2 linked regions of the Schizosaccharomyces pombe genome follow. Changing the gene in region 2 together with the main gene of any one other region gives a genetic interaction. Each region holds a gene or a part of one and is shown on either strand. Other genes may lie near its edges.

Region 1 (16,946 bases), 2.9 Mb from region 2:
AGAGCTTTCCTTTTTGTCTTAAACCAGCTGCAATAGCTCCAATTTGCGTTTGCATACCGGTTGCGTAACAAATTCCCTTGGCACGACCTTTAGTCACAATGGAAGAGGAATATGCAAGGTTGATACGATCACCAATGGGAACATCTTCGTTCATTTGAAAAGTAGCGTGTGCATCTTTTATCACTGGAAGCGACTCACCAGTCAACAATGCTTCATCTGTCTCAAAGTTTACCGTTTCCACCAACCGAAGATCAGCGGGTACAACATCACCAGTTTTTAGCACGACTACATCCCCAGGAACTAAAAGGTGGGAGTCAATAGCATCAGTCTTACTCGAGCGTGTGACATGCGCCATAGGAGAAGCCAATGTTCGCAATGAGTCCATAGTTTTCTCGGCTTTATATTCTTGGATAAAGCCAACGGTGATATTAAGAACAATAATTGCAGAAATGACACCACCTTCAATCCAATCAGTGGTACCAAAAGACAAAGCGGCGGCCAGGATCAAGACAACACACATTGCGTTCAATACCTGGCGCAACAAGACTTTCCAGGCTGAGACACCAGAGTCGGCTTCCAGTCTATTTTCTCCATATTCGGAAAGACGATTTTGAGCCTCTTCATGGGTAAGTCCATTGGGGATAGACGTAAGGAATTCTGATTCAACATCTTTAATGTCAGAGAAATAAACGGGATTCGAGATATTAATGGTTACCATTGAACAATATTTGAGATTGAATCAAGGAAGTAAGAATATATCGGGATGAGTAGAAGGGGAGAAATATAAGTAAAATCAAAAAAGCAACTGGTTTTGTTTTCCAAAAGAAATGTAGGAAGGAAAAGGTTTATGTCTGAATATAAAAGTAAAAAAGCGGTAGTGAGGAGAAGGAGGAAATAGGAATAGTTAGAGGAATACTTTTTGTTTTAAAAATAAATTGCTCAAAGATGTATATAAACAATTAATGGAACGATGCTTGACCTAAAAATAGCAGAGAAGATTGGAAGCGAAATTAGTAAATAAATCGTGTAGATGATGTAAACAAGGTCACACACAAATATTCTCACACGCACGCTCAGTAAACAGAAATTATAGAGGCGTAGGGAGTGTAATGAAATAATAATTAGAATGCGAAAAGGTAAAGAAAGAAAGAAAATACCAAATTGTGCTGTGGGTTTTCAAAAACCAAACGCAAAGTCAAGGATCAACAAGGGACAGCAGATCAGATCAGATCAAATGAGATCCTTTTGGGGAATTAACGTATTATTTTAAAATTAAACTCGAGCTCACTTAATTGCGTACTACGCAAATCCAAATACAGAGATCTAGCAAAACACAAAAAGTGGAAAGGCAAATAAACAAATAAACACAGGACGGAAAAAGAAAAGACCGCAAGAAGGTGTATTAACGAAAAGGGGAATTTTGAAGAGGGAAAAAAAGAGTTAAACTAAAATGGAGGGGATCGAGAGAATTTGAAAAATGAGTGATAATTAAAGTATAATCAGGGGAGCTTAATTTACTTAACACGGTAAACCGAAGCTCGTAATGTTATCTTCGTCAAGGGGCTATCAGATCTTTAGCTCAGATCAGGTAGCAGGTAGTAAATGTTCAAAAAAAAAGGACGAGTTACTACTTTTTAGTTAAAGAATATTTTATATAGAGAAAAGTGAGAGGAATAGCAGCAGTATATATACGGCTTGGAAGAAAAACGATATCAGAGTGTCGGATTGCAATGACTCCGACATTGATTTCCTCAACATACATTGGCTAGAGATACAATAAGCAGCAAAGCTTGCCTGGGGAATTTAACTATAAAATTACGTAAATCATAGTAGCTGACATTATCAAGCGGAGTAACAAATGACGAATGGCGGAGTGTTGTTATTCAAGGGAAGCGAAGATGAGAGGACGATTTAGCATTTAAGATTATTCGGTTAAAGAAGAAGAAGTGTGGATTTCCATGACAGAGGAGAAGAATACTCAGAGTGAAAAAAAAATGTCAAAAAAACCGAGAAATTTTGAGAGAAACTAACCAAGGAATGAAATCCAAGAGGCAACCTGAACGTTGAAACGTTTGCCAAGATTGAGGCTTAGTCATTTGCAGTGTTAATTGTTTACGTATACTTTTGCAATTTTCATATGCCGATCCTCCTTACGCTAATAAGTATTACGAAGGTGGCTACATGTCGGTGTTTTATAGGTAACATAATTACGATAAGGGTAACATGTTATTTCTTTGAAAGTAATGTGTTACTTAATTGCTGAAATATGGGGAACCGACCGAAGATCGGAGTTTTGTGATGGAAGTAGAAAGGACCCATATTCCAGTCCTATCACGCCAAATTTGTTTGTTTTTTGTTCTTTTTGGAAATTTTAGGCTCTGAATTTCCTTTACGCTTATTAAAGTTCAAAATTAATATCGGTAACATTTGTTTAAATATTCTGCACACTCTGCGATAGTTTCCACTAATTGCGACATTAGATAAGATAAGATAAGGTATGTAAGATCTATCGAAACGCAAGAAACTTACTTAGCGTATCGCTATGTCGCATTAGACGGGTGAGTAAGTTAGAGAGTATGTGTAGATGAAATGAAAGAAGCGCCTTGCACAAAAAAACTATCTTTAGTTTACTAATTAGTTAGAGATTTTAATCGAAGTTTTGAATTCGTGCGAGATATCTTCGACATTTGATTAGATCGTTTTGCAAAACCATTCGTACGATATGCCCGGTAACATGGCCATCAGCTCGTTTCTCCGAAATGTCATTTTTTTTATTATTGAATTTTCCTGATGTAATGCAAGAAAAAGCCAATTTTCGCTCACATGCTGCTGTGCAAAATAATGAAGGAACAAAACAGCAACCTTTAATATGTTTTCGGACTTATCGCTTGTTGCAGCACTTGAAGATTGTTTTGAAAAAAGGTGTTCTCATCTAGCCTGTCTGTTAATTGTAAATAGAAAACTCTAAAAAGAAGACACTGCGAACTTTGCTTCGAGCATATGCGGGGAACTATATAAGAGAATATACCAAAAATCTTTTTAAGGATGTTTTGAGAATTTAACTGAAAGGAGCACATTTACAAAATTTGAGATACATACATTAGTAATACATTTAGTTTCAAAAAAAATGCTTTTGGCATGAGTTCTTACTGTGTTTTTTTTTTAAATCATTTGTGGGCTAAGTAAATAGATGTACCGGTTTCGAGCAGAAGCCGATTAAGCAATAACACCTTTTCCTAAATCCATTTGTACTTGATTGACTCCCATATGAGACTATATATTCGTTCATACTAGGAAAAGTGCAAGGTACGAATAATTTCAATGCGCAGTTACAACAGATGCACGGGTGGATTTGGCACGAATCAAAGAACTCTGGTTAAAAATTTAATTTTTAAAAAATCATTTCCATAGAATCCCCCTTCTTTAATTTCAATGAAATTAGCTATAAACATATATACTACAAATGGAATTATATAACGATATCCGCCGACAAGCGTAATGTGCGACTTCATCAATGGGTAGGCTATATAAAGAATGCAAATGCTTATTTAATTGAAATATTGGATATTATTACCTATTCTATATTTCGTATTGCTGCTAGTTAGAGGTCGGCAATTTTAACACTCAAACCCTTTATTCATTCACTCATTTCAGCTTGAATTAATAAGCAGCAAATTTCGCCAACTCACGCCTCTCAACTAAGCCTGTAGCTCTCTCTTTAGAAGACATCGGAGGTTCGCACATAACAAGCAGTCTAGTATTGAGATACAAAATTTTTTTTTTTATCTTACTGTACCGAAAATTTGAACAATTTAAACTTTGCGCACAAAAATTTCAATACCTTGTAATTCGTAATTTTCGTTCTAATTGATAAAACTGCGATATCGTTATAGTAATACTGATCTGCTACACACAACTTAAACTGCAAGACTATTATAAAACGACATCTTCTTAGGATCGTTCACTTCATGAGTAATCAAGGAAAGGATTCTTTTAAAGCCTATTCATATTTTTGCCCGTGTGGTCAACTTTTTTTAACCATACATGTCTCTCTTACTCGTCTTCCGCAACGGCAACTAGATAAACGCCATGTTGTGGACGAAAAATTAAATCATATAGCACATTTCTCCACAGGCAACAAATATTACATTACTAGGTAAGTTGTTTTAACTTATCGTTCCTTATATAAACACATAAGCACCTGGTTTGTTGTTGGTTGATCATACATGTGGAAATTTTTTATTTGTTTACTGATTTTCGGAACGAAAATTTAATTTTCTCCACACATTAATTCACTAACCATCACAACAGAAGCGACGGAGGTTACGAACAACGAATACAGCTTTTATGTCGCAGATGTACACTGGAATGTGCATACGCTTTAGAAGCGGCGCCCGGTTACATATATGTGGACCCTACCCTAGTTAATGAAAAACCAGTCACAGTGTCGGTTTCTAACTTGAAAGAATAACCAAAGGAATTCAACCACTTCCATCTCGAATAACTTCAAAATGGTAAGTAGTTATAAAGCATGGTTGGAGTTGCAAAGTCGAAGCTCTCGGTCTATTTGAACAAAATTTACTCTTTAGTTTTGTAGCTTACTAAAGCCATAAATTGACGTTTTTTCTATGCGGCAAATATAAACATTTACTTAAACGTAGGTTCTCTTCACATGGTCCATTTGAATACACATAAAATTTTTTTTCTTTCATTCATGCTTCTCTTTGCAATCCTAATCCTTACGTTTATCTACGAAATTGATTTTTTTTGTGCATAACTAACATTCCTCTAGGGTCGTGTACGTACCAAAACTACCAAGAGAGCTTCCCGTGTGGTAATTGAAAAATATTACCCTCGTCTCACTCTTGATTTCCAAACCAACAAGAGAATTGTTGACGAAGTCGCTATCATCGCCTCTAAGCGTCTTCGTAATAAAATTGCCGGTTACACGACTCACTTAATGAAACGTATTCAACGTGGTCCCGTTCGTGGTATCTCCTTCAAGCTTCAAGAAGAGGAGCGTGAACGCAAGGATCAATACGTTCCTGAAGTTTCTGAGCTTGAGGTCGATCGTGTTAACGTTGACCAAGACACCAAGGACATGCTTAAGTCTCTTGGCTACGATCAAATTCCCGTCCGTGTGCTTGCTCCTGCCCCTCAAGAGCGTTTCCGTCGCAGACAGTAAATGAAATTTCGGTCGTAATGGGTCCATTTATACTTTTCAGTGCATAATTTGCCATTACTTGGCTTCATCTTTGTTTTCCTTTGATGTAGTTATTAAAATACTATTCAATGCGAATTTTTTGTATTTAAATTTCATCGTATTGTAAGGCTATTTTTTTTTGCTTCCCTTATATTGCAGTGTTTTTTTTAAGTTATTTAGCTTCCACATTCTTTGAGTAGAGAGATATATAAGAAGCAGATCAACATGTTCTTCTAATATGTTGGAATTGAGTAATATAGCATATGTTGATAAATTTTTTAGTATCCGTGCAATAGTATTACATTTAATAATTAAATGAAATGTGTTACCTGCTTTCTCTAAGTTTTCAATGATTTTTTCTTTTTTTTGCATTTATTTTGTGTTTGTGCAATAAACATTTTCATTATATTTTTGTTTGTGCAATAAACATTTTCATTTCTAAAACGTATCAATTGTCCTTAAATGAATTTTTATCAACACAGCAACATGTCAAACAGTGGCAGATGAATGTCTAATTTCCAAGGAAATTCATCATGATTAAAATTATTATTAATGACCCTTTTTTTACCCAAAAACATCTTTACGACATCGTTTACATGCTCAACCTCTTGTACCTATTATATTCTGTTTTTAAAAAATAAAAGAGATATACGAGCATAAATAAAACAGAGCCAACTATCCCTTTTATTTATTTTTATTTTTTGCATGTTTTATTAAAATAAATAAGCTATTCCTTTTTAACATTTACAGCAATCGTACACAATCCCTTTATTTTTCCGAAACAATTTTTAAACGGAATTTAATTTTTGATGAACATCAATCCATATACTATAAACATGGTTTTAAAATTTTTACTTCAGGCAAATGAATAAAAAATGCACATACAAAAACAATACTTAAATGTATAAAAAAAATTTATTAGAAATAAACTTATTTTATGAAAGAAAATGGGATAAATAGAATTATTATTTGTACATACCAACAAGTCCCGTTTAGCTCAATCGGCTTAGAGCGTCCGGCTTTTAACCGGAAGGTTGCGAGTTCGAATCTCGCAGTGGGAGTTCATTTTTTAATTTTTATATTTCGTAAATACACACACCAAGCGCACAAAAGTTAACTAGCAAAACAATTAGAATATTTACTATACTTTTTTTTTTTTTATACTTAATGATTTAAACATTAATTTGTATCCTTGTTCAGTGTATTTAATTTTATATTTCTGTTAGGATGTCATTCATGTACTCTTATCGCCATTAGGAACAAACTAGTATTTGAGGCGCATTGGAGTTATATAAGAAATAGAAATAAACTCATTTGGTAAAGTAATGGATCTTTACACTTAATGCTCAGTAAATGTAAGTCACAATTCATAAAATAAATTAGAACCACTATCACAATTCTCTTTGAATACGACTATTACCATCCAACCGTCTATTTCAACTTCAAGCGGACTTTGAAGGGTTACAAGGCACTACAGCAAATGTAAACACAAAGCTTACGATTTCTACAAATTCAACTATATTCTAAGAGGCGAAAGAAGTATGAAAATGAGATACCAGATGAATTAGATAATAAGAACTGGAAGGAAGGAAAAAGTGTAAAACCTTATAGAAAGATTAAAAGGCCCTAGAATAATATATGGCTTAGTTTTCGACAGCAGCAGCACCACGCAAAAGACCTGTTCTGCGGGCGGCAATAAGACCGACCTTTTGACCAGGAGCAGATTGACGAGGAACAGTGGTAGAATGACCAACGTGTTGATGGTTACCACCACCATGAGGGTGATCAACAGGATTCATAGCGACACCACGAGTACGAGGCCAGCAGTTGCGTTTGACACGGTACTTGTGGAATGCACGTCCAGCCTTGAGTAAAGGCTTATCAATACGTCCACCACCAGCAACAATACCGACAACACCACGGGCAGAAGAAGGGACAACCTTCTTAGCACCAGAGGGCAACTTGACACGGGTCTTGCCAGTGTCAACATCATGACCGACAATGATAACATAGTTACCCGAAGAACGACCCAATGCACCACGGTCACCAGCCTTTTCCTCAACGTTTGAAATGATGGTACCCTCAGGCATTTCACCAACAGGCAGCACATTACCAACAGTCAAAGCAGCGTTCTTACCGCAGTAGACAAATTGGCCCGTGTACATACCCTCAGTTGCAACAAAGGTCTCAACATCGGTTCTGTAATGATAAGGGTTACGAAAGGCAACCTTAGCCAAAGGAGCGCCACGACCAGGATCATGAATGATCTTTTGGACGACACCACGAATATAACCATGGCGTTCAGCAAAGTCCAAAGTACGGAGCTGAGCAGCACCCTTACGAAGACGGGTATGAGCTTGGAAAATTCCACCACTCTTTCTTTGAGCTCTAATAACACGTCCCATGGTTGTTAGATGGCGATAGAAAACTTCCTAACGGACCTTCAACAGTATGTTTGGATGATAAACAGTGTACATGTGACTGCTTTAACGACCAGGGTAGGGTTACTGAAACATTCGAAAACAATATCCCTGTTGATTTATTGCAAACTCCAAATATATCGGAATAAAGAGGTGACAGAGCAATTGAAAATAATTGCAATATTTTGATATATTGTTGAGTTTATTCGTTTAAATGCAATTTTATGCTATCTATACTAAACTATAGTAATAGAAGGTTAAGAACTTAATTATTACGAGGAAAATCAGACTGAGGAACGAATTTACGTTTCTAAACAAATTTTACAAACTTGAGAAATTGCAACAATAACAGAGTATACAGAACGATATTGTAGTTACGAAAACATTTGAATCTTATGAATATGAATTAGTTAAGAAAATATATTTTTTTTTCAGCCGATATGAGCATGTACCATTCTGTTGAAGTTGAGAAGTTTTCTTGGTAAACTAACTTTGGAAAGAGAGTGAGTACACCGAAATTTTCTTTTTTTCTTTCAATAAAAAAACACAAATTTTCGCATCGTTTATGTTTGACCCATAAATCTTAAAAAAAAAATTGAGTTGGACAATTTTGTACTGATATGAAAATGCAACGTAATAGTAAATAAGTACATTTAAAAGGTAAGAATTTCGAAAAATAACATTTAAAGTAGACTTGTGAAACTATAGATTTTAAACTAACTATTTCCGTTTTCAGATGTTTTTGTACATACACCAATAGTTATCTACAGACAATCACTTAATTGCTGCTTGTACTTCCATTCGCTAACTCTCAGCTTAAGCATATAAAACCAAATTACTAACTCAACTCTTTTGTTCCGTATAATACTCATTTTCTGTGTTAGCCGTGGATTGTGTTTTCTCTCAAGATACAAATCTGTTTGACGGTGTTAAAATTGATTATTGTCTCCCTTTTTCGAAAATCTGGTCAACCGGTTGTGCTCAAATTTTACATTTTTGCTAAATTCAGTCTGTTTATTTCTCAAAAACTTATACAGCTACTTTTACCAGTTAAGTGTATATACAATAGCAATCAAAAACCTATGAAACCGGATACCGTATCTTTGACTAGAGCATTTTCTAAAGCCACATCAACTTCTTCTAAGGCAGCTCTCAGCTGGCTTAAAAAGTATAATTTTGATTATGATGTGGCCTACACGAAATGGATACAGCAAAAATCTAGAGAAGAGGCGGAAAAGCAATTAAACAATGTTTTCAGTCAATTTTCCTCTAAAGAGGATAAAGATTTGATAGAACTTGATGGCTCGGTGCAATTATTTACGGCGCTAGACATTTCACTCGAGGATCCTGAAACTCTACTTGTTTCTTATTTCCTAAAGTCCCCGCGAATGGGAGAATTCCATCGAGAAAGTTTTGTTGAAGGTGCTCTCAATCTCTCAACAACTAGCCTTGATCAATTAAAACTTGCCATAAAAGAAAAAGTGCAAGTTTGGAGGTCAGATGCATCCCTTCAAAAAGCCATTTATATTTACACATACCCGCTTGCATGTGATAAAGGAAAGAAGACTTTAAGCACTTCCATTGCCATTGAATTTTTCCAGATTCTTCTTAAAGATACTTTTCCTCTTCTGGATGATTGGATTGCTTTTTTAAAAGTTTCCCCTATTATCGAAAAATCTCTGCCAAAGGATACGTGGAATGAATTATGGGATTTTAGTGTATTTGTTAAATCAGATCCCAATTGCTCTAATTATGATTTTGAAGGTGCGTGGCCAACCCTCATAGACGAGTTCGTGTCTTACTATAGAGAACACGGTTATAAAAACAGCAGCTCCTAACAAATAACTGCTTTTCTGTAAGTTGATTTCAATGACATCAATGAAAAAATAATAAACTCTTACACCCCAATAATTCTCTACAGCAAACTGCTGCTAGTTTAACCCTAAAAACATTTTAGTAATGAGACACATATGTTTAATAATAAGAAAAATAATGAATATATTAATGAAACTATAAAAAGAACATGTACAACAGTCAATGGAAATAGCAAGTGCGAAAAAAAATATAATAACAAAAACGTTTATATACAAGGCAAGACAAAAATGCAAATAGATAATAAATCACAGATAAATAATAGATACTAGTTGTCATCATGATTTTCATCATGACTGCTGCCACTTTGAAAAATATCATCGTACTTTGGAGGTGGTGCTTGATACGGGACAGCGGTCCAGGAATCAAAGGATGGTGGAGAATTTCCGATAATGTCAGAATCAAGTGCGAGATCCCTGTTCATACCAGCAATGATTCTGTTGTCGATTGAGCAAAAATTTACCTCACTAGAGGGGATAATAGGACAATACGCAGGTAGCATAGTTGAACCATCAGAACATCTGCAAGATAAGAGTCGGACAGGAGAATCAATATAGATTTCCAAATATTTTGCAGAGCCCATTAATTCAGGAGAATTTTCGCAAGAAAAGCGAAGTACTGTACGCACAGTATGTGTTATTTTAATGTTTGGATACGTAGTATCGAAATGCACAATATTGGCAGCCATGTCATGACATCCAGGAATACGTACCTGATCAGACAGTTCGTAAACATCAGGTCTAACCTGCTTCCAATCGGAGAGCAAACATTGGTTCTTTGGAGCACTACGCTCATACAGAAGTAGTTGTCTGGTTTTCTCTTTTCGACGGACTGAACGTTGGCGACAATAATAATATCTTCGCTCCATTAAAAAAAGGCGAAGTTTATGAAACTTGACTTCACCCAAGAGGGTGAATTTAAAGTTGACAGGAACTACTTGACCCATTACAACACATTTCTCACCGACTTGAACCTCGTAGTGAAGCCTATCTTCCCAACTCTTTGAGACAAGTATAGGTTCTGAAGTCGCAACACTAGTACTACACGGGCTACGAATTAATTCAATGGGAATCCTGCCGGTGGACTTACCAGAGAAGGTGCTGCTTCTGTCCACCAATGTCTCTAAGAAATAATATACACGACCCATATCGGTCTGTATAGATTCTGGATATGTACAAGAGATAGGAAGCTCAAAATTATACACGTATTCTCCAGGGTAAAAGCATTCCATACTGCGGGGATAGTGTGCGGTATCTGCGTAATGAGGCAAAACTTTGTACCACACTGCACCATGTGAATTCTCATCCACTTTCTGTTCAGAATGAAAAAATACCCAGCAATGATTCATAATACTGTTCTCTTCATATGTGTCAAAGAGTTTTGGAGGAATGCCTTCAGGCCATTCTGTTCTCGATTTTCCTTTAAAGCTCAGTTGTATCTTTTTCAATTTCACAGGCTTATAAATTTGAATGCACAAAGATCCACGCAAAACAGCTGAATGTTCACTTTGAATTTCACTTGAAGTCGCTCCAGGTAAATAGAGCACAGGTTCAGCAAGCGCAATAGCTACTCTGGCATTAGAGTTAGAAGAAAGCAGAAGCCATTCACGAGCTCGATATGATAGACCTTCACATTTACTAATTTTCTCTTCCTGGTATATATGTTGCGAGGGATCAGGCTGTGTGGTTCTATCAGTCAAGCGAATTACAGGGTTGTAGCCATTGGAAGAAGGTCCGTAAGGAAACACCTTGTCGTGATAATTTCTCAGATTGGGAATATACATCAAACGAGATACACACTATGATAGTACTTCGCAACTATGTATCTCAGAACAAGCACCTTGCAAGGCGTACTTCAGAGGCCTAAAAATCGAGATGAACAAATGAATTAAAGATAAAAAATGCACAGCTTAAATGACAGCGTATTGTTTTTAAAATACACTAACTAATTGAAATATCGTCGCTCAAAGAAGTAAGAATATGGAACAAGCGGCTCTGTAACCAAAAGAAATTGGTATATTTCCAAAATATGTATAAAAACCGTAAAATGAAATTTCAGATAGCAATTCAAAAAAAGATTGTGATAAGGGGCTTTTCAGAAATTGCCAGCACGGTAACGCTAGTAGATGTGCTGCATACATTTTATAACCATATAATGATGATATTTATCAAAAATCATTATATCGTCTTATATCAAGTTCTGTTCTACTTTGGAGATGTGTTATTAAATAGATTTTATAATTTAGATCATTACATTTTGACATAAACATTTTATGTATGAAAGAATTGAGTGGATGCAATATAACTTGAGGAAAATTCCAGTTTATAAAATGTTCTTATCGACTTTGAAAGACATCAGAAACCTAAATAAAAAACTCATGGCTTTAGTAGTTGAAGTATATTGACCTCAGCAGAATTAAAATATTAAATGCCATGCTTCCCAATATTGCATTCGTGCTACGAAATTGAATATGGATGATTACTCGGAAATGGAAATTTGATGTATCTTGAATTCATTAATCTTGGAATGTAAAATATAAGATGAAATCATCAAACATAAACTCGAAGAGTATATCGTTTTCAGTAAGGAAGGCCACTTCCAATTTTCTTTTCTTTTTTTTTAAAACTTAGCCTCAGCCCGTACTGCTAATAATTTATATCACATCCCTCCAATTGAACCATCATTATCTTCTTCTTAGCTTCACGAGTTCGGCTTTCTATTTCACCAAAAAACTTTCTTGCTTTTTGACAAATTCGTAAGTCATTCTCAGCGACAGATATAGTCTCGCGCTGCTTATCCCATTGTTGGTGAAACATTCTTCGTAAATCATTCAACGGAATATTGAGAACTTTACGACTCTCTGTACCTATCCAAATACTAGCATTGTGACAAAAATCTGTCTCCCTTAAAGATTTTTTTATCTTTTCCGCAACTTTAAGAGGAAGTGCTCTAGGTATATCGTAAATAACATACCCAAAAACGCAAATACTTGCTAAACCAAGTACCGGGACCAATAAGTGTTGAAGCGAGTTATTTTGAAAATATTTAAATATTGGATAACCAAGATTTCCAGTAAATGCACCAAGCGTTGTAAATGAAGGGGTTGTTTTTCCAAGGACCAAGAGAATAGTACTCAATGAAGCGCTCCAGGTTCCTAATCTCTCAGTAAGGTCTAGATCTATAAAATCAAGCAAGCCAAGTTCAAATCGAAAATGCTTCTGCAGTTGCAATCTATGTTTCTTAATAAACATTTGGTTGGCATGAAAGACTGGAAGGACGGCGGAGTCAAAATTATCTTTTACATCTTTTTGAATACATAAGACAGCTTCTTCGGTCCTCTTTCGAGCATAATCTTCTGACTCCAACAATTTTTCTTCTAAATATTGTTGCATGGCGTCTCTTACGGATATCGCATACTGGTAGGCAAAGAAAAAACCAGAATACTTGACAGAAGCAAAAGAACCTAATGAGTCAATAGCATCTTCTAATTCGGAATGTGTATGCTGAGAAATAGATTGCACAGTCGCTTCAACTAAAGATTCATTCTTCTGATAGGTAAATTGCTGCTCATGTTTTACCTTACGAAATTTTGGAGAAAGATCCGTCAAACGTTGTTGCAAGTGATTAATATCAAAATCGATAAGTTTTATGTTATATTCGCAGATATTAAGTATATCACCGACTAACCCTGACAAGTATCTACGTACCGGGGCAAGTTTAGATTTTGAGCGATTTTCGAGAATGAAGCTACGGAGAGAGTTTTCCATCTGAAAAAAAGAAGAATATAGAGCATCCTCTCGATTATTTGGATCACGAGCGACACGACAGCTCACAAAATGTACCAAGTCTTTAGCGTCAGCAAAAGTACCAGGAGAAAGGGTATGAATTTGTTCAAGGATCAATCGTTTACATCTCTCTTTATCTCTGATGTTATCAAATTTGTTCACAATAATGAAAATGTGGGATTTCTCAGTGGAGGCGTTTCTTAAGAAATCTGTAGCAGAAAGGGTAAAATGATTTTCAGCGTTTACAACGAAAACGACAACGTCAATTTCCTCTTGGCAAGCAAATACTGAAGTTGTCTTCATGGAATCAGTATTCAAGCCAGGAGCATCAATAAGTGCAATATCTGTAATTCCATTGTGAAGCAAACTCTCATGTGCCGGTCTTCCATCATTGACATATACAATTAGCATGCTCCAATTTTCCGTCTCATAAACAAGGCGTTTCAAATCCTCGATTGGAAAAACTTTATATGTTGAAGAGTCAGTATGACTATACGTGAGTCCATGAGGAATAGCGTGAACACAATCTTTTCCATCATTGAGTTCAGCATCGTGCACTTCACAAAATACCTCAGTACAAGGTTGTTGATCTTCTGGTAGAATGTCTTTGTGTACCAAAGCATTGCAAAGGGTCGATTTACCTGCGTTTAAATCCCCGGTGATAAGGATTTTCGAAGAGGTATCTTCTACTCTAGAAAAAAGTGAAAAGAGATGCTTATTTGCTTTCTCTATGTGTACTTTTAGTAGAGATTCATGAGCTTCCTCGCCCAATTGACTGATTAATTTTTCATCAGCAGTCGACGACGACCGCAGTGATAGATCAATGGTGATCACATTCATTTTGGACGGACTAAATGGATAGTAATTTCCTGAAAATTTAGATTTTTCTTTATCGGTTCTCCAAACACTGTGGAACAAACAGTCAGATCGATCTACATAATTATCCAGTTCATTTAACAGATTTTGAATAATATGGATGGATCTTAACAATTGGTTCCTATTTTGGTTATACTCGAACTGATGACGATTAGTTTCATCTTTATACTGCTGAATATTGTTTGAAGTATATCCATTATTTAATCTTCCCGATTCACCATTCTGTTCGGCTACTGATAATTGCCTTGCACTCTTCTCCATATCATTTAAAGTTGAATTTTGCGTTTATATAATTGAACTTGATCCCTAAAGATTGGAAATTTCATGCAAAGAGCAACTTCCTTAAAAATTAATACATATGCGTTGCAACCATATACTGTTTGCATAACACCTTAGTACGAATAATGAAAAAAAATGGGAGCAACATATTAGTAGATGAATATGAGAAAATAAAGACATCATCTTTCTACATATAAAGCTTTAAAAAAGAAATTTCTATTATATCCTTGAGCACAACAATTCAAAAATTTACATTTGTATCATCATAAATAAGACGTAGGAACGAAATTTCAAGTATACCGTATACTGTTGACATCGACGACGTTTGATATCTGTTTTAGCGATACATAAATCATATAGCGTTGTGCGTTATGTTAACTGACAATATTATATTTATTGTTATAAGACGCCTAACAGTATCAGTCACCGATTTAGCTAATAATTGAACTGAGGAATGAGATGCAGCGACTAATTCCATTTATAATCTTCTAAGTCTTTGTTCTTAACTGATGTCTATATTAAAAAACATGATTTTACAAATATGAAATTAGTGACACGCAACGTAGCGAACCAATTTTAACAGTATGCTGTATAAGGAAAACTAAGTTGGGGTGAATAAAAAGGGCAGTGACAAAATAAATGTGTCAGAAGTAATTCACTGCCTCGTTCAGTTTTTTCGTTCTTCTTTTTTTATGCCATTGTTTGAAGGAATTAGTTGGAAATTTGTTTGAACGATTTTATTATTTTGTTAAAAAGTCTTTAAAGCGATTGGAATTGGACTACAAAGTGAATATTCTTGATTTCGCTGTTTGGTTTGTCGCAATCATAGCAATTAATTCGCGCATGTATTTTATTAAATAAAGAATGATTTTATTATTATGAAGAATAATTACACTTCTTTGAAAAGTCCTCTAGATGAAGAAGATGAATTGAAGACAGATCATGAAATCGATTTGGAAAAAGGACCCCTCCCAGAATATGATTCAGAGGAGGAAAGTACATTGCCTCCATATTCAGGTAAGAATTGTAAATAATAAGAAAGGAATTACTCAATTGAAAGTTGAAACTTGCCAGTGCTGTAAAATAACTTGGATGTGATCATTGTTTACAGTTGGCATATCCAACACTTGATCAGAAAGATGGGTAAATTTAATATGATATCTTTTTAATTGTGTATGCTAATTATCATTAGGTTATGAGGCCAAACAGCAAGTGAATGAATACACAGCTGTTCCATTGCGTGAGATGAACCCCGAAAGTGAAGCCTAATTATATTGTTAACTTTACTAATTGTATGATAAAGTCGCTTTTTACACGAGGCTTCTTTTCTTCATAAGAATGTGCAATAAAGAAGCGCCTTTATGATTGTGATTTACTCAAACAAATCATAAATCTGTTTAAAGTATGTCACATGTATTTTTATTGCATATTTCATTTCCTGACGAATTGGATGAGCAAGTGCATTGCTTGAAAGGTTCCGTGAATAACATACACTGGGCATTGAATATTATAATAATGGTTTTATTTATTCGTTTTAAAATAGCAGTTCACTAATTGACTGTTATCATCAACTAATGAAATCGAAAAACTCGTTGTTTCGCCTTGTTAAATTCACAATTTCATTGTCGTTTATTGCATTCATTTCTTCTTCATCTTGATTCTTAATGAATCAAACTTAATTATCATTTTTTTCCTTTGGTTTAGTGGTTTACTTTAATACAAACAAAATTAATGTTTACAAAATAATGAACAGCATAATAAAATATTGTGATTTAGAACGATGATTTGTTATCGTAATAATGTAGTTATTGTCTAATGTGAGAATCCACTGTAACGATTAACAGATTTCCTCTAATTTTTTAAGCTACTTATTACTTTCTGTTGCAAGTAAAAAATCATGAATTTTAAGGCTCAGTGTATAAGGGTTTGCATATAATTCAGTTCTCGTTTTGTGCTGCATATTTAATTTTTTGAGTAGTCAAAAAAATTAGCACAAGTTGTAAACTTCACATTGTCCACTCGTGGTGGCGTGTTAAAAAATTACTTGATGTTTTAAACTAATACTTCTTATTTCGCATTCATAAAAAACAATGTTGAGAATAATCATGTATGGTGGTTGTACAAATGAAAACGGGTCAATTCAAAATGCATTTCATATCCGTCTCATTCTAAATTTTTCGTTATTTAGTCGCTTCGAATTATTGACTTTGTTTACTGTACGAACTGTTTTCTTTATTTAGCGCATATTGAAGATATTTGCATACTTTTTAGGAACTTTGTTTCTTCCTACAAACTCAATTCGTTACAGAAATAACATTGCTTTGTCTTTCCAATTAATAACAAGTCGTAAATTTGTAAAGGAATAAAAATTTTATTGTTCATTCTTACTTTTCCATGTTCCTTTACATATCTTCGTGCAATTACTAAAAGAATATTAAAAGTCAAATTTGAAAATTTCGCCCTTCAATTATGATGATGGTGAGAAATTGGTAGTCAAGATGCTAATTATCA
Region 2 (16,474 bases):
CAAAAACGGAATGATTGTTTCTCCAAAAAAAAAATTCCTGACATTCATAGTCCTCCGTTAGGGTTGAACAACAAGTCTGTTTGTCAAAAAGTATATTCACAGTACAATACCCTTCACGAAAACTGTTAAGTAATGATGCGAGAGCATTTAATAAAGCAGCTGTTAAGCCGATAAATATACCTTCCAAAAATGTCAGAAATCAGATAAAGAGAATACAGTAAATCAACAGTCAAATAAAATATCACGTACACTACCAACATGCAGATGCATTTAAATGGTTGGATTACGTACCTGAAATAATGGAAATAATTGAATATTTGGTTTCTAAACCTAGAAACCTGAAACGGCCTGCAAGACGATTAGCACTTTTCTGCTCTTCATATCTCTCGTGAATCCAATCAATGAGTTGGTCATCCTTCATTTTAAGATTTTGTACCAGTCAATAGTTGTCGTTAGTTAACAAATATATAAATTCACCTAATAGCTTAAAGGAATAAACGTAAGAGTTCTGCTTGTAACTGACGCATTTAATGCTTGTTAGAGAGGTTAAGGATTCCGGGCAAGTAACTAAATAGTCTTCCGCAGTTTACTCAACATGGAAGTAATTTAGTTTTATCCTTAATATGGGGATTTAAAAAACAAAAAAATGACTAGCACAAAACGTTAAGCGGCAAAAGGTAGGCAGTGAGTAGGTAGGGACTGTTGTGTCGTAGCGAGATGAAAGAATTGTGTGTATTGAAAGCTGCATTCCAATAAGCAAATACAATCAGTAACTTAAAATAATATGATCATAAATGATTAGTGACTATATTTATTACTATCTTTATTGTACATTAAACCCTTATAAAGGAAGTTTCTTATTAATATCTAGTGTTAATCCATACGTAAGATTATTGATATAAATCAGTTGTTGCATATACCTAATTAAACATAAACACTTTTTTTAATACTGTTCAAATAACTTTTTCGTGCATCCAGTTCCTCGCTGGTTGAATCTGTGCGAGACAATGCAATCCATTTTGGATTTTCATGAAACAAGCGCATTGCGTGTATATAGTCATCAGTGGTCGTAGTAAAACGATGATAAATTCCAGGAGGAAGTATTATTAAGTCGCCTTTCTCAACAAAAATTCGAACCCATCTATCATCGACAGAACGGACATCAAAGTAACCATTACCATCGAGAATTAATCGAATTTCCTCATCTTCGTGCAAATGTTCTTCAAAGAACTTCTTTACCATATTGTCATAACGATCTCCAAGTCCTTTTCTACTAACAACAACTTCATCCCGATTTTTAAATCCATATTCTTTCATAAGGCCATCGGCGAAGGTATGTAGATCTCCATCATGATGTCTATAGGACACTTTAGCAGCTTCTAAATCTTCAGCTGAAACTTCAATCTTTGAGTCATTCGGCTTTCTTTGATCGCCTTCGTCTTGGAAAATGTATGCTCTCATTGATGTTATTTTTATGTTGAGTCACGAGCAAATTAAAGAAAATTAAGACTTTTTTAAATTATTGAACGAAAAACTTTAGACTAAACAGAAGAGGTGTCAATTGGAAAGCAGGCAAAACACTACTCGAGTGAGAGTAAAGGTGAAAATAAAAAAAAAAAAAAAAATTCTTCTGTGCATGTAATGTAATACAGTATCTATTGCATTATGCCAAACAAATATTATTGGGGCAGTGTGACAATAGAATATTACATTAAAGAGTTTTAAACTTATGCAATAAGTGCGCAATTTTGTTCATCGATATTCCAACATCGTGAATTTTCTGCTAATTTAGAAGTTTCTGTTTTCTTCTTTTTTGTAACAGTAACCTTTGAGAAAAGCAATAATACAAAATCCCCTTATAACTTTTTAATGTATTAAGCAAGTTTCACGCTAATCAACCAGACCGCCTATTATCATTCCAAAGGACAAGGTTGTTTATTTTAGTCAAGTTTGTCTATTTATTAGCAGTAACACGTTTAGGTGAACATAGATGCTGTGCGCAGCACGAAAGTGTTTGAACAAAACATTTATTTCAGTAAGACTAAATGCATTTTCTTGTCTGGCAGAACTAAATTTTCGGCATACATGGTATTGCTCTAAAAAAGAAACACCTTATCAACTAGAAAGACTCCAAGAAGAAGATATTGAGGAAACATTTATATGTGGAAAGGGCCCTGGTGGACAAAAAATAAATAAAACTAGCATAGTGGCCCAAGTCAAACATATTCCGACGGGAATTATCGTTCGATCTCAAGACACACGTTCACGTGAACAAAATCGTTGTATTGCAAGGAAACGGTTAACGGAGAAAGTAGATGAATTCAAACACGGGAACGATAGTCTTTTAGCAAGAAAAGTTCAACGTATTGTCAAGAAGAAAAAACAGCGAGAGAAAAAAAGTAAAAGGAAGTATGGAAATAAGATTGATGACCAGGATTCCAGCCTGAATAATAATGAAGCGAAACAAGACGTGATCTAATTTGCGTTGCTTCGGTACTCACATGGCATTAACTAGGAGTGAGATTTATCATTCATTATGAGCATATTCGTACATTTTTTTTAATAATTCTTTGGTAGATAGCATGCTTAGAGTCTTATAATGAGTAGCTAAAGATCTGTCTCAAAATCACCTGATATCAATTAAACTGATCATACCTTAGCAATTCCAATTTCAATATGATTAAGCGTAAAACTATTTTTTTTTGTTGAATATATAGTGTCAAGCACCACGAATCCTCCTGGCTAATTGCATGTCTCGTTGCATAATCGTCACTCGTTTAGCATGAATAGCACATAAATTCGTATCTTCAAATAGATGAACCAAGAACGCTTCAGCCGCTTCCTGAAGACATTGCAGTGCCGTAGATTGCCAGCGCAAACCAACATCCGTTGAAAAATTGGCTACAAATTCTGAAGATATCTCTCGTACAATTCTTGAAAACGGGAGCCTTTGTATTAATAAGTCTGTAGACCTTTGATATTTTCGAATCTCTCTTAACGCCGTAGTACCTGGACGATATCTCTTTTTACGTGGCCGTGGAATAGGATCTCCAGGCTCAGCCATTAAAGATTTCTTTGCCATATTAAGTTGTTCCTATCAATTTCTTTTGGGAATAAAGGTTTTTAAACAGTAATTGTTGGAACAAATGCAAGAGCTCGATACAATGAGTTTTGGTTTTGACAGGGGTTTGACGCGTCGCGACTAGCATAGACTCTAAATTATTTAGCTCACTATTTAAAAATGTAAACAATCAAACAGAAGTTCTTTGTCAGAAAATACTAAAGCTACTGTTTTACAAGAAAATCATTAAAATACATGAAAATATTAGGCTCTTGTTCGTTCCACATCATCAGCTAAAAAGAACAAGTATTAATAATAGCTTACGAATATATGATTTCTCACTATTTATAGGTAAGAGAAATTAATCATATAAACCCAAGCGAAACTCAAGACCGATTTTTTTTTAATTGAATAAACATATGTGCTCTCTTTATATCTCGGTTATAATTGATCCAAAAGCCTTAAAAATTTATCGTACTCTTTTACAAAGAATTACATAACGCAGTTTACCGTGGAAAAACAAATTAAAAATTTGACCTATGGTAAAATCAGACTGCAACAAGCATTAACTATTTATTAATTAATTTAATGAAGGATTTTTATAAGAAACATAATTAAATTGTTAAGTTAAAAATAATTTTTTTGACTTTTGCATTCCATTATAAAAACGGAAAGTTGTTTGTTCTCTGTTTTGCAATTCCTTTAATAGCTCAAGTGTTTTAAACATAAACGGTCGAGATGAGTACAAAGTCAAAGGACCAACATGCAAGGGTATCATATTTATACCAGGCTTCGCAATTACTTTTTAGAAACGTTCAAGAACCTACATTGTCGAGACACTATATCTCTACAGCCAAGGATGTTTCACAAAAATCAGTAATGCGAATACACCCAGATATAAAGCGCACCATATGTAAAGGATGTAACTCTTTATTGGTACCAGGAAAGTCATGTTCAATAAGATTTGAGGAACCATCACGGAAAAATCCATCTATCGATCGTGTATTGTGGATATGCAAAAAATGTGCGTTTAAAAAAAGGTTTTCGGACAAAAGTTGTTAAAACATGTTTAGCATTACTTTTGGAATGAAAGATTATTTGTATTCTATAAAGCCGGAGCAACTTTTGTTTGGTATTTTGGTTCTTTAATTTCGCGAGATTGCGATTCAAGTAAAGAAAGATTCCCCATTTCCCGCTTACTCCTTTTTCTTTTGAAATTTTAAAGGGTTTTTGTTGTACATAGACCAAGCAGGAAGACACACCTATTTTTAAATGAATGTTAATATTACATGACTAGAAGCAAAAAAACTAGCTTACAAGAGCCACCAACGATGCTAAAATTAAAAACAATTTAATCACACAATAAGAATCTTGAACTAAATACCCATAAATGTACGAAATAACCTATAGATATATTAGTAAATAAATGAGATTTTATCCCTGACATACAGCACTTGTACATAGACCATAGTTCATATACTTTTGACACCTTAATTGTCCTGCAAAATCGATCGTACCTTCAAGATAGTTCATGGTATGCTTGCTCTTTCTCAAAACAGTAAAGTTGCTTTTTGTATTATGTGGTTACAACGAATGAATCTCGTTATCGTTCGGTTTACCATAATAACGTGTTGTAATCCAATAGCACGTTGTACATTGATGAATATGAAACAAAAAACAAGCAAAAAAAGAGGCATGAAAATATATAGGCAAATCGGTTGCTCCTTCATTTTCAATAGATGTAAATCAACACCTCAATGTCAAATTCGATTTGAAAATGAAAAAGCGGCTCATTGATGACCTATTAACATTATATAGAAATGATCTTTACAATTAACAGGTTAAGGTACTTCAGCGTTCATAAACGATTAATAATTAATAAAGATTCACCAACAAGGGCTTAATTTAAATGTATGTGACTTAAATCGTATATTAATTGCTTAGGTGGTTTTTTTTTTCATTTGGTGAAATTATCTTTTATTAGATGTGCGATTATCATAAATTTTGCTAGTACTTCATTGCTAAAAGAGGTCAAGTCTCCACTAACGGTATAAAACAAGCATTACACGTATACCTTAAGCAATTTGGGTCGTGCCAAAAGCAATTAGTAATGTGTAGCTGTTAAAGTTATTAGGTTCCATAAAATTAAGAGCTTATTGCTTCAAAGATTTGTCCTTTCCGATTTTAAAAGTTGAGGTCTTCTTAGGGATAATTGCTTCGGCTAATTTATAATAATTTCTAATAGATCACCTTCAGTATTGATAAATTGCCTACTTGAAAAGTCAATGTGCAAAGCGTTTCAGAAAGTAATCATCGATGTCAGCAAAGGTCGTTTTAAAGGATTTCTTATCTCAAGCGCCAATTGATAAGTTAAAAGCTACTTTAAGTGGTCATTTGCCTGTTAGTTGCATAACAATGGATGCTAAAATAACATCATTACAGCCTGGTTACCATTTTCTTTTTTTCTCTTTAGCATCTCCTGAATCAAATTTGAATTCAGATGGATATGAAAGTCTTTATTCCCCAAAGCCAAATAATCCTTTTTCTTTTAAGCGCCGAATATGGTTACATGGAGTCCTTCGTTTTCATAGACCTTTACATCTTTTCCAAACTTCGGAATGTCATGAATTGATTCAGGAAGAATCTGTGAAATCTCCATCAATTACAAAAGAAGTTGAAGCTTGTCTTCCAAAAAGTTCTTTTCTAACAAAGCCTACTTCAGAAAAACAGACAAAGCATGTATATATTCGAAGAAAAATTTACGACAGTCAGCATCAATTATGTATCGAGGAAGATAGAACATTAGCCTATTTAAATCGACAAGAACTGGCTATACCAAAAACTTTACGTAGCAAAAGTATTCCACAACACTCTTGGGTATTCACACCTACACCTATTATGGTGTTTCGCTATTCAGCATTAATGTTTAATGCTCATATGATCCATTGGAATGCGACATACGCTACAAAGTCCGAAAATTATCCAAATCTCGTTCTTCCAGGTCCTCTTCTAGTGACTAGTATGTTAGAGTACTTTCGTTCTGTTTATCCCCAAATGTCAAAGAACATGAAAAGATTTGAGTTTCGATTATTATCTCCCGCGTTTGTCAATCAACCACTACGCATATGTATCTCAGAGACAGGTAACCTATGGATTGATCGATTTACTACAGACCTTGATCCACCGTCTTTGATTGCTAGAGGCCGCGTCTATACCTAACATAACTGAAAAACAATAATAATTAATACCGGCAGAAAAAATATTTCTAAATTACAAATACTACTTACTAATATTAAAATTTAAGTATGTAAAACTAAATCAAATTACATGATAGGTATTCAATTTAAGGTGAAAACACACAAAATTTTTTATTAACATTTAACAGTAACTTGGTAAGAAAAAAAAAACAATATTAACCAATCCCAATAAAAATGAAAACAAAATATAAAAACACTTATGACCGTCCAAAATAAAAAAGGAAACCGTTAGACGGAGAAGGGGTTTGAAATTACACATGAAGCTTGAGGATACGATGAAATGAAGAGGCAAAATTAAGATGATAAATGTACATGAAAGGAGACAAAGGAAAAAGCACTTTCAAAAGGGCTGTGAAATAATAACGGTACCAATTTTTTTCTTGAAAATAATTAGCAAAATGCAACTTTTTTTAAAATTCATAAACAAGGAATCAATGAAGAAGCGTAAGAGGTGAAAAATGACAATAGATAATGCAATAACCTTTTTTTAATATTTGTGGCAGAAGAGACTCCTTTCAATTTATCTACCGTGTTTCACACGGAGATGCCTAACCAAGGCATCATGTCTACTGAAATGGCGTTGATCGCCACAAATCTCACATCGAAATACAGGTCGTGTCTTAGCATGTATCGTATCCTGGTGACGGATCAAATCATACGTCCTAGAAAACACTGTGTTACAAATTTCTCCTGTAACTCTGTTCTGAAGAGTACACCGAACTGGACCAATTTGTTTACCAAATTTAAACTTCCTACGCTTCCTCTGAGCACCCGTAGCAGTAGTAGAAGAATTTGTAGGAGTGGTGTCAACAGGAGCAGATCCGTTGGGGCCATCAGCAGCAGCACCGGTGATGCTTACTTTTTGGTTGGTTGGATTAGGTACCACGGAATGAGAAGACCTAGTATTGTAATACGACTTAACGTCATTTAGGTCATGAGTAGCAGCCGATTGAGAGTGAGGAGCGTTGGAACTGTCTAACTCTGAAGTCGGTAATAAGTTAGGTATATTAGCAGAGGTTTTAACAGGAGAAGTGAGTGGAGGAGAGGAGCTGATCGTAGTATTTGAAGGTACGACAACAGGAGGCTGTGAAGGAGAAAGTGAATGTGGATTTACCGACGTACCAAGCACCAAGGAGGGGCGATGCTTGGCATTGTATGATCGCGTTATCGGAGGAGACAAAGAAGGGATGCGTTGTTTAATAGATTCTTTATTGAAGCTGTCCTGCCGAACATCGGAGTGCATGTTATCATTGACCATAGATACATCCTTCCCATCATATATCTGAGCGGAGTTTTCTTGAGGAAGAAGAGAGTCAGCAGCAGCTCCCAGAGCATGAGAACGGCGTAACGCAGTGCTCGTCGCCGAGTCCTTCATAGGATGCGCCCGCACTTCCGGATTTTGTTCCATACGGGATTGAAGTCCCGTTGGAGATACAAGGGAGGAATCCTTGTTGTCGGTATAAAGGTTCTTAGAGGAATCAAAATTTTGGGTCTTGAGAGGATTGTTAAGGGTAGAGGGATTTGCTTGGTGTTGAGGTGAGACATCTTTTGAGACTCTGTCTGACTTTTGATTGTGACCCAGTGACCTTTTTAAGTCACTTCCATTCTCCAAATAATCGGTTGAAAAAGGACCACTAGGAAGAGAGGCGTCCTTTACAAGTTGTTCGGAGACAGAGTCACTTGCATCCATGGATATCGAGGGCAACGGTTCCATATCCAAAGGTGGAGAATTCATGGGAAATGGATTACCGTTGATGTCGGAAATCGCGCCAGTGCCATCAGCAATCACCTGACTAGGTAAATCGAAAGAGTTGGAGAAGGGCTGGTCATTAATGGTGGAAGCAGATGGAGTAAGAGGAGGAGGGACGGACATGCTTGCAGATGCGTTACTCCCAGCATTTCCACTGGGGGAACTGTTAGCAGTAATAATGTGATTCGTTTGAGCCGAGGTAGGTTCGTTCGACCCGTTGACAGGAGGTGTGGTGATAAATTGATGATTGCTGCCAAGGGACGAAGGGACACTTGGAAAGTTAGCAGCGTTACCATAGTCAGATGCTAAGGGATCAAATGGCATGTCCATCGAGGAATCGGGAATAGTGTCGAGGGAGAAGGGGTCCATTGTGTCAGCATCGTTGTAGACACGAATGGGAACGTTCATCATATAGTCCCAGGAGGACATATCAGATAAATCTGAGTTATTTTCTTCTAACGTAGTAGGGTTAAAACGCTTTAAATTGAGTTCGGGCATCGAGATTTGCTCGAATTCAGCATCCGAGAATGCATTCGGAAATACATTAGTCACAGAGCGACCATTCATTTTGGATTTACGATTTTGTTGCAATTGGGATCCATTAAATTGCCAATCTGGAGTGGGAAAGTTATCGTTCCCATTACTAGAAATTGATCTTGCATATGTGTTGTTTGTAGTGTCCATACTACCCAGCAAAGATGCGCGAGGCAATGTATATATAAAGAATGACGTCAAGCGTCTGATTGAAAAAACCACCCTTGTCAAACAACATTGGTTAGCAATTGACGTCGTTTTACATTGATTGAGCCAATCAGAGGCCGCCAATGAAGTAGCATGGAAATGTCAGAATGCGCTGGCAGTGCTGCTGATTCGTTCTTTTCAAATAAAAGCGCGTAATGTGTAAGCGAACCCCAATTACATTCCTTCAATCTGCGACTTGCGCTCTACGCTGTCCTCTCATATGGAAAGCGAGCTTCCAGTACTTAAATCACCTTATATATCGCGGTTAGTCATAACGCACTAATGAAGGAATACGCTGCAAGCTTCATTCCAAAAGCAATCATAGAATGAGGTCAAAATGAAGAGGCGGAGTCGGGGAAAGATGAGATTGAAGGATGAATCAAGTCCACGATACTTTTAGGTCATATCACGACGTTGATTTGCATCTTACTCTAGTTACTCGTACTTTAGAGATGCGATGGAATTGAGGATGTTTGGTACAACAAATGTCTTGTTTTTCGTTTGCGCCGTGTCACGCTACTCCTAAGATAGCAGCTAAATGAAAAGTCTAAAAACGCTAAAAAAATTTCCTCCCTACATGTTCAAGTCAATCAAGTGCTTCATGTTCCCGATCACCATATCGGCATCGCAATGCAGACCTCGATTGCTTACTTAAACTCGGTAATCTCGTCTTCCGTTACCCTACATGATCACGGAATTCATCAAGTCGTTTTTACTTTTTTTTTTCCTTCCCTTCTTTCTTTCGATGCCGATGATCTTCGCTACTCTGGGGGAGTTTACCGACGATCAAACTCATCATTATTCCACGCTTCCGTCGTGTGACCTTCTCCTTATTCGTGGAGAAGTTAAAGAAAATGCCAGATGCTTCTTGCATAACCCAAAAATTAGTCATCAGCATCATTCTTTCTGGTCCTTAATAGAAGGATGTTTGGAGGCGCTGCAATTTGGCTTACTAGCAATTCTTCAGGGATTATTTTCTCAGTTTGCATGGGAAGCCTGCTCTTGTACCTTTGCATGCATGCTTCTTACTAGCGAACGTACTGAACCGTCTTATCCGTTTTCCGAGATTACAGAGGTCAGTCGTGGTGGGTTGCACTTCGTTAAGTTGAATTAAGTATGCTTAACTCAGGTGAAGTCAATTTGTCGATGTCGATGAGATTGGCTAGTACACGAAGGGGATGCGGAGCTGCTAAGCAGAGGAGTGATTTAACTATGAAACCAATTCGTAGGATAAAGTATACTTTACCGATCGATATGGATGATGCAGATGTAGGAATCAATTATTCTACTTTCTTGTGAAAAGCATAACCCATGTGTATTATTTTCAAACAAGTCAAACAGATGGATAGCCAACACGCATATGACTGCTTACTCAAGTACAAATGACTTTTAGAGCATACCAATTTCAACAGACTTTTATCACTAGTGCAACTATCTTTTTATCAGTTGTAGTCTTTCAAACATCAATAATCACTGGCATTCACACACGGCAATACCAATCATTATGTTATTACGAGAACAACTCGTGAACAAATGGATTCCAGTGTGTTCTAGCATACACATAAATGTCTCGTCTTTCTACTTTATTATTTAGTCGATGAGTGGAACAATTAATAAACTTACCATTCAATATTGCACTGACAAACGTATACTTTTTTATATTTCTCTTTCTTTTCGTAGGCTTTACGTACTTACTCTTCCTTATTTTCCTCTGCAACGAAAAAGAGGATTGGATTATGGGCTTCGTCAAACGTTACAATTACAGAGTAACCTTGTAATAAGATGAAGTAAAATATAAAGTAAACGACGTGTAGTGATAAAAAATCTGTATTTTTGTCAAAGTGAACTTAATTGTTCAACGCGTTCTGATGTCATATGCCCAAAAATAATTCACCTACCCAAGGTAATTGAAAAATTTGTCAATACAAAACGAATGCTTTATAAACACAAAAGAAAACATGTCAGATTAGAGAAAGAGTCGTACGCTCTCATTGCTGAAAGCTTTTTATCCTTAACACTTTACTGGAATTTGTTAGTCCCGTTGACTATGTGGTTGTTAGATACAGATTAGGTAAATTCATTTATTGTGGTATTAAGCAAGGAGCGGAAGAAAGTACGTACTTTTTTACATTGTTAAAAGTTTTATTTGACGAAATTACAACACTTAATAAGTATCTAAGTATGCGATCGAGCTGATTCAATTTGATATCTCTCAATTAGAAAGTTGCGTATTACCTCACAACTACGATGTACCGTACAATTCACAATCTTCCTGGCTATGCAACTGTTTGCTATCAACTAGTCGCTTAGATAACCTTCTTTAACCCCATTCACTAGACACACTTTCCCCATACCCAGAAAGATGACACGAAGAACAGTGTAACGCATCAACTAGGTTAATTTGCTTAAGGTCGCACAAACAATTACCTAAAGAAAAACTTGCGCGTTTACTATATTTGTACTACTTATAAATATCACGATACGATTCGGGTTTAATGAACATTATATTAATCATTTCATTCAATAAATGTATTAATCACAAATCCACGAAGAAAAATTCATCTTCTTGTCAGATGGAGTATTCAGCCGTGATACAACGCGATATGAAAAATTTCTCACAAAGACCAAACGCCTTTTTGTCTATGAATTGCACTAGCAAATTGATAATGCTTCTTCTGATATCGCCCAGATGAAAAACATTCTCGTTTGGCATGTATATATAGAATAGTTATAGTGTACACATAAAATTGATAGACTCGAAACAAAAAATTCGGAGTCGGCAATTGATATCGAATTTAACCACCGAAACCATAAATGGTACGGCCTTGACGCTTCAAAGAGTAGACAACATCCAAAGATGTAACAGTCTTACGCTTGGCATGCTCAGTATAGGTGACAGCATCACGAATAACATTTTCCAAGAAGAGCTTGAGGACAGCACGAGTCTCTTCGTAAACTAAAGCGGAAATACGCTTAACACCACCACGACGAGCAAGACGACGAATGGCAGGCTTAGTAATACCTTGAATATTGTCACGAAGGATCTTACGGTGACGCTTGGCACCACCCTTTCCTAAACCTTTTCCACCTTTACCACGGCCAGACATATTGCACTATTAATATTAACGAAATAGAGTTACTACTATAAACAGTGCTTCTATTGCTAGTAGGGTATGCGGCATTTCACAATATATATTAATGCGCCGTCCCTATTAACTTACGTCAATTTAATTAAAGGGTTAGGGTTGTGATCAAAGTTGGATGTAGGGACATATTTATACAGCGTAATCTCCCTATAATTTGTTTTTATCTACACAGGGCAATTATCAGAACACTAGAAAATAATGGCTCGTACTAAGCAAACTGCACGTAAATCAACTGGTGGTAAGGCTCCTCGTAAGCAACTTGCCTCTAAGGCTGCCCGTAAGGCTGCTCCCGCTACTGGTGGTGTTAAGAAGCCTCATCGTTATCGTCCCGGTACAGTCGCTCTTCGTGAAATTCGTCGTTATCAAAAGTCTACTGAACTTTTGATTCGTAAGCTACCTTTCCAACGCTTGGTCCGTGAAATCGCCCAAGATTTCAAGACTGACTTGCGTTTCCAGTCTTCTGCCATTGGTGCTCTCCAAGAAGCTGTTGAGGCCTATCTTGTCTCTCTATTTGAAGACACTAACTTGTGTGCTATTCACGGAAAGCGTGTAACTATTCAACCCAAGGATATGCAATTGGCTCGTCGTCTTCGCGGTGAACGCTCATAAGCAACTTTACCAAATTGTGGTTGCCATCTGATGGTGTGATTTGGAATCTTTTGGTCGTCTATCCCATTGTAATCCTTCCCTCATTTACTTTGCCTTTCGAAACAAAATTTAACCTTGAGTGTTGTGGAATGTAACAAACGATATGCAAGTCTAATTTTTTGTTTCCGTGAGCTGCACTATCTATTTATATTTTTGTTTTCTTTTTTCGAGTTATACCGCGGACGTTTTTATTTTCGAAATGTATAGAAATTTTTAATTCTCTCTTTACGTCCTGCGCAATTGTGTAAATGAAACGCTGAGGAACTTCATCTGTATTCTTATATGCTATTTAATAGTAAATTAATTTTTAATATCATTATTGAAACACGATAAACTAAGGGTTGACCGTATTTGATTTTTTGTAGTATTTTTAAAAACTCGTATCGATAATTAATTAATTACTCGAAGCTGAACGCAGATTCATTAAATTCGGGGACATCGTCCGGTGTTGGCCGGATATCTTGTCCCATAAGAGTTTTTCCAAGTTTGGGGGAGTCGTGAGTTTTTTCCACTGCAGACTGCTTGTCAGTTACCATATAATCCTCAGTTTCAAGATGAGCAGTTGCAGGATTTTTTTGGAATTTCCAATTACGCAAAAGCCCAAGTGCTATTAGGTCACATCCTAATTGGCAATACACATTAGCATTATGCAAAACAAATCGATATTCAAGACTTTCATCAATTTGCACGTTGCTGGATCTTAAACATTCATATAACAAAATGAAGGCAGGATCATCAGACGGAAACTTATTTCGTACGGGTTCGTTAGTACTATTTCGTTGTGAATCTTTATTTTCGTGAATTTCTTGGTCGTTTTTATCGGATGTATAAAGTTGTATAAAGTCATTATCGCTGACCAGCGAGCGAATGGGAGATACCAAACTTTGCAAGGCCTTTTTTTCCTGTTTTAAAATAGTGAAACTCCAATTGGTGAGCCATCTATCGTTTTGAGATACAGCCAAAGGAAGTACATACTCGTTTATTAGCCTCTTTAAGGTCGGACCATCGTCGCCTTCATAGACTCGAGTCATTGCGATGGCTAATGAAATGCTTTTTAAATTACGGATACATACTTTTGCGGCATCATAGCAACTATCTGCCAAAAGAAAAAATGCAGAAGCATAAAAATATCTGTGCTTGCTTAAAAGTGCAAAAGCATTCTTGGATGCAACCACTTTCCACTTCTTTTTTGAAAAGTCATTCGAAAGCAACTTAACCGTTCGAGCTGATTCCTTATGCCAACTAGCAAGACGCCAAAGATCACGAAATACATTTATTTTGTGTAGAGCAATGTGATATAAACTAACATTCTCTGGGTTCCTATCGTCAATCTCAGCGTAATGATTGCGAGACAGCTCTAAAAATACATCTTTCAGTAGCTGCTCATTTAGCCAAAACGGTATCGCATATTCTTCAACAGCATTCCATAACAATGGTTTTCCATGAAGCTTTTTAGTGTGGTCCAACAGAACAGCTTTGTTAGAGCTATGAAAAGCCCACGCCATCTCTCGGGTGGGCAAGCTTGTTAATTGACGTTGATGTTTTGATAAAACGTACTGGTTTAGCATAATGCAATATCTTTTTCCGTTGAGGTCCAATGAATCTCGCAATGCTCTTGCCTTATTGAATGCCTCGATTAAATTAAGAAGTAAAAACTGAGATGATCGAGTGAGGGTTTTGACTTTCTTTACTTTTAATAATGCAGTCAACTTCTTTATCATTTCATCAATGTATAATCCTAAATGCTTTGAGACACTGGTCTCTTCAAAATCCAATTCCGCAGGATTTAGAATTTCCGCAGAATTTTGGCTGAGACTTTTTATTAAAAGGTCTTTAGAAATTTCTTCGTCACAGCAGTAAAACTCACTGCAGTCCATATTTAAGAGAAAATGCATATCTACATCATCTTTCAAACACAAGTAAAACCTTAGCAAAATATTAGTAAATAGAAAGGGTTGGTTTCTAAGTAAAAGCTGCTGCAACAATTGAGGATGAAAAACTGGTAAAATTCCATTAAGCTGGTATGCAAGATCAAAAATATTTTTTGCGGAACGTTTCAATGATGCAGGGAACAGTAAAGACTGATCTTCGGGAAGTGAATTATCAAAATAAAAAAGTCCGTTACCAATGGCAGTAACTAAAGTCCCATTATCCAACCAAGAAGAGTCAGATATTAATGAATTTGTATATTCTAAAAGATTGTATCTACGAATACGAGACCAACATGGAATATCGTTCATATAAGATCGGCGATTTTGGCACAAAAGAATAACATCATGTAGAAAGCCAACAGCCAAGATAGAATGGGAATTGGGAGTAGAAGTCCAATCCAAGTCATTTATTGGTCCATAATCATCAAAAACAGAGGAAAATTCTTCCTTTTCAGAGAATTCTGAACTACGCGTGTCGAAAATTGAAAGTCGACGATTGTTCTCAGATACAACAGCAACTTTCTTGGATGTTGAGCCTTTGATCATAGTTGCAGATTTGATGCTAGTTTGCACTTTGGAAATTTCCGATATTTCCGCTTTATCGTCTCCCAATACTCTTGCCATCCAAGTCTGTAATAAACCGTCTTTTGATATTGATTGAAATACCTCTTGATCAAATGAAGATAAACTGCTCAAATTTAAAGTAGAAGACCAACCCATGACATCTACAGCCGATGCGATATTTAAATTCTTTGTAAAATTTACCCGATCTATAAACCGAAGTACAGCAGAACCATCATGAGCTTCGTTAGAGACACTCCAAAACCAGGCATGGCCTCCTTCCGTCAAAGCACATAGGGCGGAATTATCGTTGTTTTGAACAGGAAGAATAAAGAAGGTTATTATCGGACTAGTAGGGACTTGACGACATGTACAGAGAAGGGTTGGAGGAATTGCTTCATTGCAATGCCATAATTTTAAAGAATTTAAGTTGAGTACTGCTGCATATTCACCAGCATAAAGAGGTAATATAAAGTCAGATTCTCCAAGTAATAATCTGAACCTGCAAATTAACTGATTTTTCCCGTCTTGCGATATGTATGATTGAAACATACAGATACGATTAACATCTCGGGATACAATTCCATGACCATTAGAGGTTCTTGTTAAGCTTTTTATGGGATAATCATGTCCATAAAAATCGTAACTAACTCTTAACTCAAAGTCACTATAAAAGAAATCGGTAAGACTAAACATGTATTCACGGGCGGAATTTTGAAAAAATAAAATGATGTTATAATCGTAAAATTCGTGTTTTGAGGTCCTGTAAATAGGTATAAATCCGTCAGGTTGAAGAGCGCCTTTGGGAAAGTTCGTTGGAACTTGATTAATAAGCTCAAAAGATGACAAAGTTTCCTGGTCAATTACTAGAGAAAATATGTACAAACATTCAAAAGTAAATAGCAAAAATATATGTGGTTGTCCACTGGCCAAAGCCAGAAGCCTATTTAAAATGCGATCCTTATGCACTTGACCAGAATGGCGACTTATAGCATGTGCTAATGCTATAGTAAAATCGTCCTTATCAATAAAACAGCAGTATGGTGGTTGATCAGATTTGTAGTATTTTCTCAAGTTAAGAAAACAAGAAAGATGCATTAATTGAGAACCAAATCGGCTACCAACTTGCCAAATTCTTAGAACGTTATCATAGCCTACCGTACTCAGGAAGGGAGTCGATCCACTGGCGTCCGGATGAAGGTGTTTAGACCATTGGGAAAACCTTACGCGACAAGGATGAACAAGATAGCTGAAATCATCACATGAGCTAACTGTACCTTGAGGAGATGTTCGCTGCCAAACTTTAGCAAGTGGATTTTTTGTTTCGATAGAAGCTATAAAACAAGCATCGGAAGAAATAGTGCTACTAAGGAATGAAT

What was found.
Region 1: of rsv2 (region 2) and fzo1, changing one suppresses a phenotype caused by changing the other (phenotypic suppression), as found in Schizosaccharomyces pombe (one study listed by BioGRID).

What each region holds. Positions count from the first base shown.
Region 1 is NC_003423.3:591,943-608,888, reverse strand, and holds fzo1 (dynamin-like GTPase fzo1), read right to left. Parts: upstream 14,524-16,946; 5' UTR 14,418-14,523; coding exon 12,141-14,417; 3' UTR 11,703-12,140; downstream 1-11,702. Other genes in the region: P-type calcium transport ATPase Cta3, read right to left, coding at 1-718; protein new20, read left to right, coding at 3,969-4,156, 4,312-4,471; rps1701 (40S ribosomal protein eS17), read left to right, coding at 4,512-4,514, 4,793-5,185; protein new14, read right to left, coding at 5,333-5,575; rpl803 (60S ribosomal protein uL2), read right to left, coding at 6,847-7,608; neddylation protein Dcn1, read left to right, coding at 8,706-9,461; aly1 (arrestin-related trafficking adapter), read right to left, coding at 9,764-11,278.
Region 2 is NC_003423.3:3,525,209-3,541,682, reverse strand, and holds rsv2 (DNA-binding transcription factor Rsv2), read right to left. Parts: upstream 8,756-16,474; 5' UTR 8,753-8,755; coding exon 6,839-8,752; 3' UTR 6,395-6,838; downstream 1-6,394. Other genes in the region: SPOM_SPBC887.02 (ClC chloride channel), read right to left, coding at 1-180, 292-421; adi1 (acireductone dioxygenase family protein), read right to left, coding at 925-1,461; pth3 (peptide release factor), read left to right, coding at 1,991-2,479; cnp1 (centromere-specific histone H3 CENP-A), read right to left, coding at 2,720-3,082; RNase P subunit Rpr2, read left to right, coding at 3,800-4,123; signal peptidase complex subunit Spc1, read right to left, coding at 4,258-4,323, 4,379-4,465, 4,511-4,594; 3-hydroxyacyl-ACP dehydratase Htd2, read left to right, coding at 5,378-6,280; SPOM_SPBC1105.13C (uncharacterized protein), read left to right, coding at 9,495-9,923; hhf3 (histone H4 h4.3), read right to left, coding at 11,605-11,916; hht3 (histone H3 h3.3), read left to right, coding at 12,154-12,564; and 1 more.